2 linked regions of the Daphnia pulex genome follow. The protein of the gene in region 2 binds, or shares a complex with, the protein of the main gene of each other region. Links are inferred from orthologs where the notes say so. Each region holds a gene or a part of one and is shown on either strand. Other genes may lie near its edges.

Region 1 (4,322 bases), on a different chromosome or scaffold from region 2:
ATGCCCAAACCCAATTTGATCATGCGGTAGATGCGAGAAGCGTGGACGGCGGGCTCTTCCAGGGAGAAACCAGATGACAGCAGAGAGGTTTCAAACAGCAACATGACCAAATCCTTGACGGCTTTGTCGTTCTTGTCAGCCTCTGCTTTGACGCGAAGGGCTTCGATGATGGGGTGATCGGGGTTTATTTCCAGGTGCTTCTTGGCGGCCATATAACCCATGGTGGAGGTATCCCTCAAAGCCTGGGCCTTCATGATACGCTCCATGTTGGCTGTCCAGCCGTACTGGGAGGTGACGATACAGCAGGGAGACTCGACCAAACGGTTGGAAATGACGACCTTCTCGACCTTCTTGTCCAAGATGTCCTTCATGATTTTGCAGAGACCTTCGAATTTGGCCTTGTCGCTCTCGCGTTTCTTGGTTTCTTCATCATCTTCGGGGAGTTCCAGACCCTCCTTGGTGACGGAGACGAGCTGCTTGCCATCGTATTCCTTGAGCTGCTGGACGACGTATTCATCAATGGGCTCAGTCATGAAGATGACCTCCAATCCGCGCTTCTTGACAAGCTCGACGAAGGAAGAGTTGCTGACTTGATCTCTGTTCTCGCCAGTGATGTAGTAAATGTGCTTCTGGTTCTCCTTCATGCGGGAAACGTATTCCTTGAAGGAAACCTGGTCCTCTCCAGAGGCGGAAGTGTGGTAACGGATGAGGTCAGCGATCTTCTTACGGTTGGTAGAATCTTCATGAACTCCCAACTTCAAGTTCTTGCTGAATTGTTCGTAGAATTTCTTGAAGTTCTCCTTGTCCTCGGCCAACTCCTCGAAAAGTTCCATGCATTTCTTGACCAAGTTCTTGCGAATGACCTGAAGTAGAGAAAAGTAATAATTAGTTTCAGTTAACGATGTTGACAAAAGAAATAGAATAAATTACCTTCAAGATCTTGTTTTGTTGGAGCATTTCACGAGAAATGTTGAGGGGAAGATCCTCAGAGTCGACGACTCCCTTCATGAAGTTGAGGTACTCGGGGATGAGCTCCTCGCAGTTGTCCATGATGAAGACACGGCGGACGTACAACTTGATGTGGTTCTTCTGTTTGCGGTTCTCAAACAGATCGAAAGGTGCACGACGTGGGACGAAGAGGAGAGCGCGGAACTCAAGCTGGCCTTCAATGGAGAAATGCTTGACAGCAAGATGATCCTCCCAGTCATTGGTCAATGACTTGTAGAACTCTCCATATTCTTCCTGGCTGATGTCATCGGGATTGCGAGTCCAGATGGGCTTGGTTTTGTTGAGCTCCTCATCGACAGAGTATTTCTCCTTGATGGTCTTCTTCTTCTTCTTGTCTGTTTCCTTGTCGGCTTCTTCATCCTCACCAACATCTTCGACCTTTGGTTTCTCCTCATTCTCGTCCTTCTTTTCTTCCTCCTCAGCCTCATCGTCGCTCACTTCCTTGTCGCGCTCCTTCTCGACCAAAAGCTTGATTGGGTAGCCAATGAACTGCGAGTGCTTCTTGACAACCTCCTTGACTTTCTTCTCCTCCAGGTAATCCATTTGATCTTCCTGCAAATTAAAGAAAAAACAAATATTAGCATACAGGAAATTAAGCCAGCGAAGACAAAGAAACATACCTTCAAGTGGAGGACAATCTTGGTTCCTCTACCCATGGGTTCTCCGTGATCAGGCTTGATGGTGAAAGAACCACCAGCTGACGATTCCCAAACGTACTGCTCATCATCATTGTGCTTGGAGTGAACTGTCACCTTGTCGGCAACCAGGTATGCAGAGTAGAAACCCACACCAAACTGGCCAATCATGGAGATGTCAGCTCCGGCAGAGAGGGCTTCCATGAAAGCTTTGGTTCCAGACTTGGCAATGGTACCCAAGTTGTTAACCAAATCAGCCTTGGTCATGCCGATACCACTAAAGAAGACACAGTACAGTTAAATAATTGCTCTAATCAGAAAAACTTGACTTCTAAACTTACGTATCACTGAGAGTGAGGGTACGGTCATTCTTGTTGGGGACAATCTTGATTTCAAGATCCTTGCCGCTGTCCAACTTGCTAGGGTCAGTCAGGGATTCATAACGGATCTTGTCTAGGGCATCTGAGGAGTTGGAGATCAACTCACGCAAGAAGATTTCTTTGTTTGAGTAGAAGGTGTTGATGATCAAGCTCATAAGCTGAGCAATCTCGGCCTGGAATGCGAAAGTCTCGGCTTCGGCTTCCATTTGAACTTCTTCAGGCATCTAAACACAGACAAATATATTTAAGTTAGAAACGTTTGTCAATCGTGGTACATTAGACTCAATAATTCAAATTCAAAATATTTTTGTACTAGCGGCATATCAAAAAATGAGTAAATGAGCAATTATTTTTTAAACTTACTTTGCTTTAGAAGATAATTAAACAAGAACACAAGATTGTTTGCAAGAATGGTCTCGTGGAGAGTTTTTCCCGTGTGGAGATGCGATGTTTTTCGCTCAATCGCCGGTTGAAGACTGTGAAGAGTCGAACACGAGGGAGGCCTTATATCAAAGAGGGACCCGGGGAATCCAACGTTGTAGTAGTGGAAGCTACTAGAACAAACCATAGGGGAGGAGGGGGTTCGAATTCTCTCGAAAAATCGAGAATGTTCCTTACCGAAGGAAGTCTTGGTGTTGCCGCTTTCAAACAATTACACACAAACTCATTCAATTTACCTTATTTTTAATTTTTAAATTCACACAAATTCTGTATATTTCTCAAGTATTGGTGGAATTTGAATTTTGAGTGGCTACTGATATTTTTTGAATTATTTAAAATGTTTTCCAAAAAATCGACACCGAGTCTACCGACCATGTGTTTTGACGGATCGTTGATTCGGTGTTCGTAACCGTTTTTAACCGTCAATTCAAGTCCCATCTGCTGTCTAATGCATCTGTTTGTATGAGTTGGTCTGGGATTATCATATTACCAACCAGTTGACACATGCTTACTAATTTTGACTAATAATATCATGTAATGAAATGTTTCAGTTTTTTCTGCATTATTGCTTTTTTCGTAAATAATGCATTCTTGCTTGTAAGAAACGGTGAAATCATAGTTCACCTTTTGCCTTTGTAATAGCGAGTCGAGATTCGAGAAACGTCTAGAAAGCCTCACGTCTGGTAAACCCCACGTGGTTTTTCTTCTTCAGAAATCTTTTGTTCACTCAGTCGATAAGATTACAACGAGTTATAAAGTTTGTAAACCTGTACAACAAAATTCTTGTTGTTATAAATTTTGTACAGAAAAAAAATAAAGAAGATTTTTTTTTTAATTCTTCAGCTTCAGGCAAAACAATTTAATTCAGGTGACAGATAGGAATGCCCTTTAAAGCCTTGAAGTAAACAGAAGCTTGACATTGAGTTCTCCAAGAGCAATTTTATCTTGTGGAATTCACATTAAGGTTTTTACTGAATTTCACCTATGGCGTGTGACTCATAACGAGATTTTGACTAAGAAATTATCATTCTTTCCTTCCAGGCTTCCAGGAAACTTGTTCGTATTTATATCGAAACAGATATTTTCCTTGAATTTAGGCCCCAACGTCGAATGCTGCAGTGCGGCATTAGACACAGGTTTACACACACCGAGTTCCTCTGTTGGGTTTCCTCTATGTCAATGGCCTAGGTTGCCGAACCCAATTCCCTTGTAGAGATCAAGGAATGAAGGTGTGTCATATCAACGTTGCGTAATTGACCTCCAATTGTTGTTATTTATTGCCATTAACCAACTCCCAACATTTTAATCGTAAATGAACTTTATGTAGTAATTATGAGTCGCAAAGGGTGTGACGATTTTAAGATGATGGTAGGCTGTGTGGTGCAAGATGGACTTCCAGCAGTCAAACTCAAACCATCTGGTTTAATTATTTTTATCACAGGTGAGTAGTGACAGGTGTCAGAACTACCAGTGCGCACAATGCACGAACCATGAAATATCTATGAACGTTTCAACACAATATAATTAATTGTTTTAAATAAAAGGCTTTGATGATGTTAGCAAACGATCAATTAATCGATTTCTAAATTAACAGATATCGGAAAAAATTAAATGAGAAAACCTGCAAGATTGTTTGCAAGTTTTGTTCAGAGGAAAACATTTTCTGTCTGCTGGTGTATATTTTATTATTTTGCTTCCTTAATCCTTATCGTTGTTTGGAAGTTGGAAACTTAAAAGATTAGCAGTTTTTACTGGCTGAAAAAAATTTTGAAAGCTATTCTTACTTTTGCTTGTGTAATAAGATGAGATTTTCAAATCAAAACTGTCAATAACAATTCAAGTAGTTAAATGTAGAAAA
Region 2 (4,548 bases):
ACGTACATCGACTCGTTTGTGAACGAAATCAGGATCATCCAATTCGTGTTGCTCTGGCACGTGACGTTTAGCGAATTTCGCCAATTCCAACATCTCTGGGATGATTTCTTGTTTATCGTATGCATTGCAGAGGTTCACCAATGTGGAAACGACTCCGTAAATAACGGAAATGTCTCCAGACTGTAAAATTTACCAAATAACGATTAGCAAATGTAATTTTATTTCATTCAAATTATTAGGAATGTAAAAATTCTGGGTCTCTTTCCGTCCCCCTCATACCTTGGCCACTTCAATTAGCGATTGAAGAGCTTCACGATCCTCAATGAGTTTCTCCTTAACCTCAGCGTCTAATGTCAAGTAGGAGAGGCCTTCAATAGCCCACTTACGCATGTCTTTGTCCTTGGCTGGGTTAATCAAAAATCTACAAAATGGATAACATTCAATTCACTTTGAATTCTCTTACAGACAAAGTGGAGGAAACTCACCTTCGACAAGCTTCGGCCAACTTCATGGTGGATCCGTCGGTGAACGGCTTCCACGACGAATCGGTGCCTCCGCAACTTCCCAATTTGCAGAGACCTACCAAAGCTCTCACCTAAATTTTCAAATTGAATCGAGGTGATTCAATCCATTCATTTATTGCGGTTTTCTACTGAAATACGCACCTTGATGTTGTCGTTGCCGATTTGATAGAGTTTCTTGAGAATGGTAACGCCTTGAGCCAAGATGGCAGAGGCTTTATCTTTTTTAGAAGCGGCGGCGATCAAAGCCTCACAAGAGACACGCTAAAAAAAGACGGTAAACTCTCGGATAAAGAAATCAGTTATGAAAAAGGTTTCTCACCTGCATGAGGAATTCACCACTGTTTGCCATGACGAGGATCATTTCCAAGACACCTTCTTTGCCAATAATGGAACTACCAACATCTAGAGGTCCCAGAAGAAGTGTCGTCACTGCCACCACCACTCGAACTTTGCTATCCATCCCAGGAGTTTGCAATTGTTCGCTGTTTACAAAAAATCAGACGGTGGAATCAAGCTTGTGATTTTTATTCAAAGAGAAAATAACTTACTGGATAAAATCTTCAATCTTTGCACTGAAACGTTCTTTAATTAAGTCGTAGTACATGTTGTCATAGACTTTCCCCAAGGCACAGGAGATGATGGTGCGGGTATTTTCCGTAATTTCCATGGACGATTCGTACTTCATTTCCTCCAATTCACTGGCGATTTGCATCATTCGCTGTAAGCCTATTGAGTAAAAAGATCATGAGTCATCGATTTACTAACTACATTTTCAATTTATAGCATTACCATTAATATCAACGAGGCGTTCGGCCCAATCCAGGGCGCGGTATTCGCAATTCCTCATCATCAATTCGAGAACAGCATCTCGGCATTTGCCAGTGATGGTTCGACTGGTGGAGCAGTAAATCAAACAAGTTAAAATCGTATCAATTTCCTTGCGGTGCGCTGCATTTCCAAAAAATTAAATTAAAAACAAAGAAGCAAACAAACAAACGAAAAACGAAAATACCTTCACACAATTCCTTATTGGGTTGTTTATCGTCTTTCAAATCCAAGCCCGAAATAGTGTTGATCACTGTTTGGACACAATACTGAGCTGCACTGACTTGATCGTCATTATTTGAATTCAGTTGATCAAGAAGCCAAGGGACTCCCAAAAGCTGGAGAATCATTTTGGCCTATACAAAACAAAATAAATAGTAAAAGGAGAAAACCCATAGGGGAACGTGAAAATTTAAATTACTCGAGGCAGATTCCCTTTGCACAATGCACTGATGATGCGGATGCAAGTCACTACAATACTTGGCGTCGTTTCTTTCTTCAACAAAGAATTAATTTTCTCAAAGATTCCTTCCTTGACCAGCAATTCGGCACCTTTTCGGAAAAATTAGTGCAAGCTTATAGAAAAAATTGCATCACTGGAAATGACCATTCAAATAACACATACCGGCAGATTCTTTGGCAAGAACTAAAATATTTGAAGTAGCAGTTTCCCGTTTTTCAACAGTCGAAGAAAAATCAAAGGCAATTTCCATCATTTGAGACACTTTTGTGGTTGTCTGAGCAAATTTTGCCATCTAGAAGGATACAAGTGTTTCTTTAATAACCAAATGAATAAAAATATTTGATTGGAACATACCCTGTCTTGTACAATATCATGGAGCCTTTTCAAAATAGGAGCAATGGCTTTATTCTTTTTATCTAAGTTGTGGACTTGTCTGGCATCTTTGTAAGCCTCTTCATATTTTTCTAAGGCTTCATATGCCTGGCATCTACGAAAAAGGGCTTTGGGATCATCTGGAGAAATTTCCAAAGATGTGGTGCAATCTTTGATGGCAGCTTCATAGTCAGACACTTTCAAGTAAACTGCTGCTTTGTTTTTGAGGAGGACAGCTTTCTCTGGAGTGTCAAGTTCAATTAAATGAAGTGCTTGAGTATAGCATGATAAGGCCTTGTCCCAATCTCCTTCTGCAAATGCTTGATTTCCAGCCTCTTTCAGCCGAATTGTTGGATTATCATTTGTCATTTTCCTAGACTCCTGTTTAAAACAGAAAAGATTCTTAAATACAAGAGCACATGCGATCCACGAGTAAACCTAGCACATCTGCTTACCGTAGTTTCAATTTTACTTGTAGCAATTTTTGTGTTTTCTGTGTGGCGCGCAAGATAATACTAAACGAACTCGTGGAAAAAGACTATGTAAAAACTTCGATGTTTTTTTTTAAATCTTTTTCAGAAGCGAAGAACAGGCTCGAATGTTCAAGAAGGGGGAGATTCTAAATTTACCATTCTATTTACGGTTTGTTAAAAAACACACACCCAAATAATCCGCTGTCAAATTCTTGAATCGTCTGCTACGGTATATAGTTTTAATTCCTTGATTTCTTGTAGCAAGGGCAGATGGCTCTGCTTATAGAATCGGAAAAATCTGAAAGCAGAGCAGACGAAGTGACGAACAACTCCAAAACCAACACTGTTAAACTGAATACTGAAGAGTGTGAAAATCTGTATGTAGGCCTAAATGATTATAACAAGTTAACAACCCTTATCTGGCTGTGGCTACATGCTACATCTTCCTTAGAATTCATTTGTCACCGAAATAAGACTATGATTTCATTCATTTAAAGATATGCTATTAAAAAATAAAAAGAGCTGTATTATATGCCTGAATGGATTCCTTCGAACCAGCAGTCAGTCATGCTCAATTTTTGCATGAGGATGTTTCAACATTTATTTGTACTACAGAGCACCAGATTTCAACTGAAGGTCTCACTGAACGGTAATTTCTAAATATTTGTGTTGATGTTATCAAGGGAACTAAAAACCAAGCTTGAACTGAAATTTTCATGTGCGAGCTGGAAGAAATATTAAATATCTGAATGTATCCTATTACATATTAATTCTTTGACTTTGAAATGTTATGTGAATTTATGTCCTCTAAACATGCAATCTCGTTAAACCGTTTTCCCAATTCCCATATCTATATTCAAATTTTCAGCTTCTTTGTTGGAATCGTTGGTGTTGGGGTTATTCCGAATTTTCCTTCACCCTACCCGAAAATGTTATTGAACCATAGGATACGAAATCATCGTTGGTGTCATTGCCAAAATCAGATAAATTACCTTAACAACATTGCAGCAACAACATACCTTATTAACATTTTTGCAGCTTTTGAGAACTTATCGACTGAGAAACAGTAAAGAGGTTTCTAATAACAAGGACCACAAAGGCACACACATCATGGATTGATGAATTAATATTGAATATGGATTGATCATGTGTTTGAAACAAATAAGGTTGCAGTGGAATATTTTTTAAAAGTCCGACTGTCCTTCAAACGGTTCGAAATGGAAGATTTATTCATTTATCGAAGACACGAGTCAAATGACTCAAATGTCAATGTGAATTTTAAGCCATAACCATTTGGTATTCATTTTTATATTGGTTGTTGTAGATCCATCCCCACCATCGTCAACCTGTAGAAGGAAAGACCAGTTGGCCTGTCCTTCACACTCGAAGGTCACGGAGATCATTACGTAAAACGTGTCATGTGGTGTAGAGGTTGGGTGAGAACGGGACGTGACTAACCATTTGGTATTCATTTTGATTTTGTTTGTTGTAGACCCATCCCCCAGCGACGTCAACCTGCAAAAGGAAAGGCCAGGTAAAACGTGTCAATGTGGTGTAGAGGTTGGGAGACAACGGGATGTGTTATAACCATTTGGTATTCATTTTGATTTTGTTTGTTGTATACCCATCCCCAGCGACGTCAACCTGCAAAAGGAAAGGCCAGGTAGAACATGTCATGCAGTGGTGTAGAGGTTGGGTGAGAACGACACGTGTTTCATCATTATCAAGCAGGTAAAATACCCGCAAGGCTTAGGAGGTGAGGGTAAGAAAAAAATTCGTATAAAAGGAGAGAGAAAAGGATACAGGCATCAGTTGGGTGAGCATCACCGACACGTCAACAACTGTTGTGAACTACCTGTATGGCTGTACCAATTGGCTTCTTCATCGCATT

What was found.
Region 1: the proteins of protein unc-45 homolog B-like (region 2) and heat shock protein 83 are in contact, whole or in part, in a crystal structure (PDB 4I2Z), measured with the Caenorhabditis elegans proteins. The link is inferred for Daphnia pulex from reciprocal best matches to the Caenorhabditis elegans genes unc-45 and hsp-90. Residues at the interface, in NP_497205.1 of Caenorhabditis elegans: Arg12, Asn16, Val19, Tyr31, Val48, Arg51, Asn52, Met55, Lys59, Val81, Lys82, Phe85, Arg86, Asn113, Asp114, Ile117; in NP_506626.1 of Caenorhabditis elegans: Ser696, Arg697, Met698, Glu699, Glu700, Val701, Asp702.

Annotation. Positions count from the first base shown.
Region 1 is NC_060026.1:16,238,608-16,242,929, reverse strand, and holds the start of heat shock protein 83, read right to left. Parts: upstream 2,900-4,322; 5' UTR 2,387-2,899; intron 2,248-2,386; coding exon 1,985-2,247; intron 1,921-1,984; coding exon 1,629-1,920; intron 1,561-1,628; coding exon 931-1,560; intron 864-930; coding exon 1-863. UniProt on the Caenorhabditis elegans protein: Molecular chaperone that promotes the maturation, structural maintenance and proper regulation of specific target proteins involved for instance in cell cycle control and signal transduction. Undergoes a functional cycle that is linked to its ATPase activity.
Region 2 is NC_060022.1:4,924,044-4,928,591, reverse strand, and holds the start of protein unc-45 homolog B-like, read right to left. Parts: upstream 2,987-4,548; 5' UTR 2,640-2,986; intron 2,566-2,639; 5' UTR 2,554-2,565; coding exon 2,167-2,553; intron 2,105-2,166; coding exon 1,975-2,104; intron 1,902-1,974; coding exon 1,771-1,901; intron 1,706-1,770; coding exon 1,537-1,705; intron 1,473-1,536; coding exon 1,314-1,472; intron 1,251-1,313; coding exon 1,073-1,250; intron 1,007-1,072; coding exon 844-1,006; intron 786-843; coding exon 666-785; intron 596-665; coding exon 486-595; intron 422-485; coding exon 280-421; intron 181-279; coding exon 7-180; intron 1-6.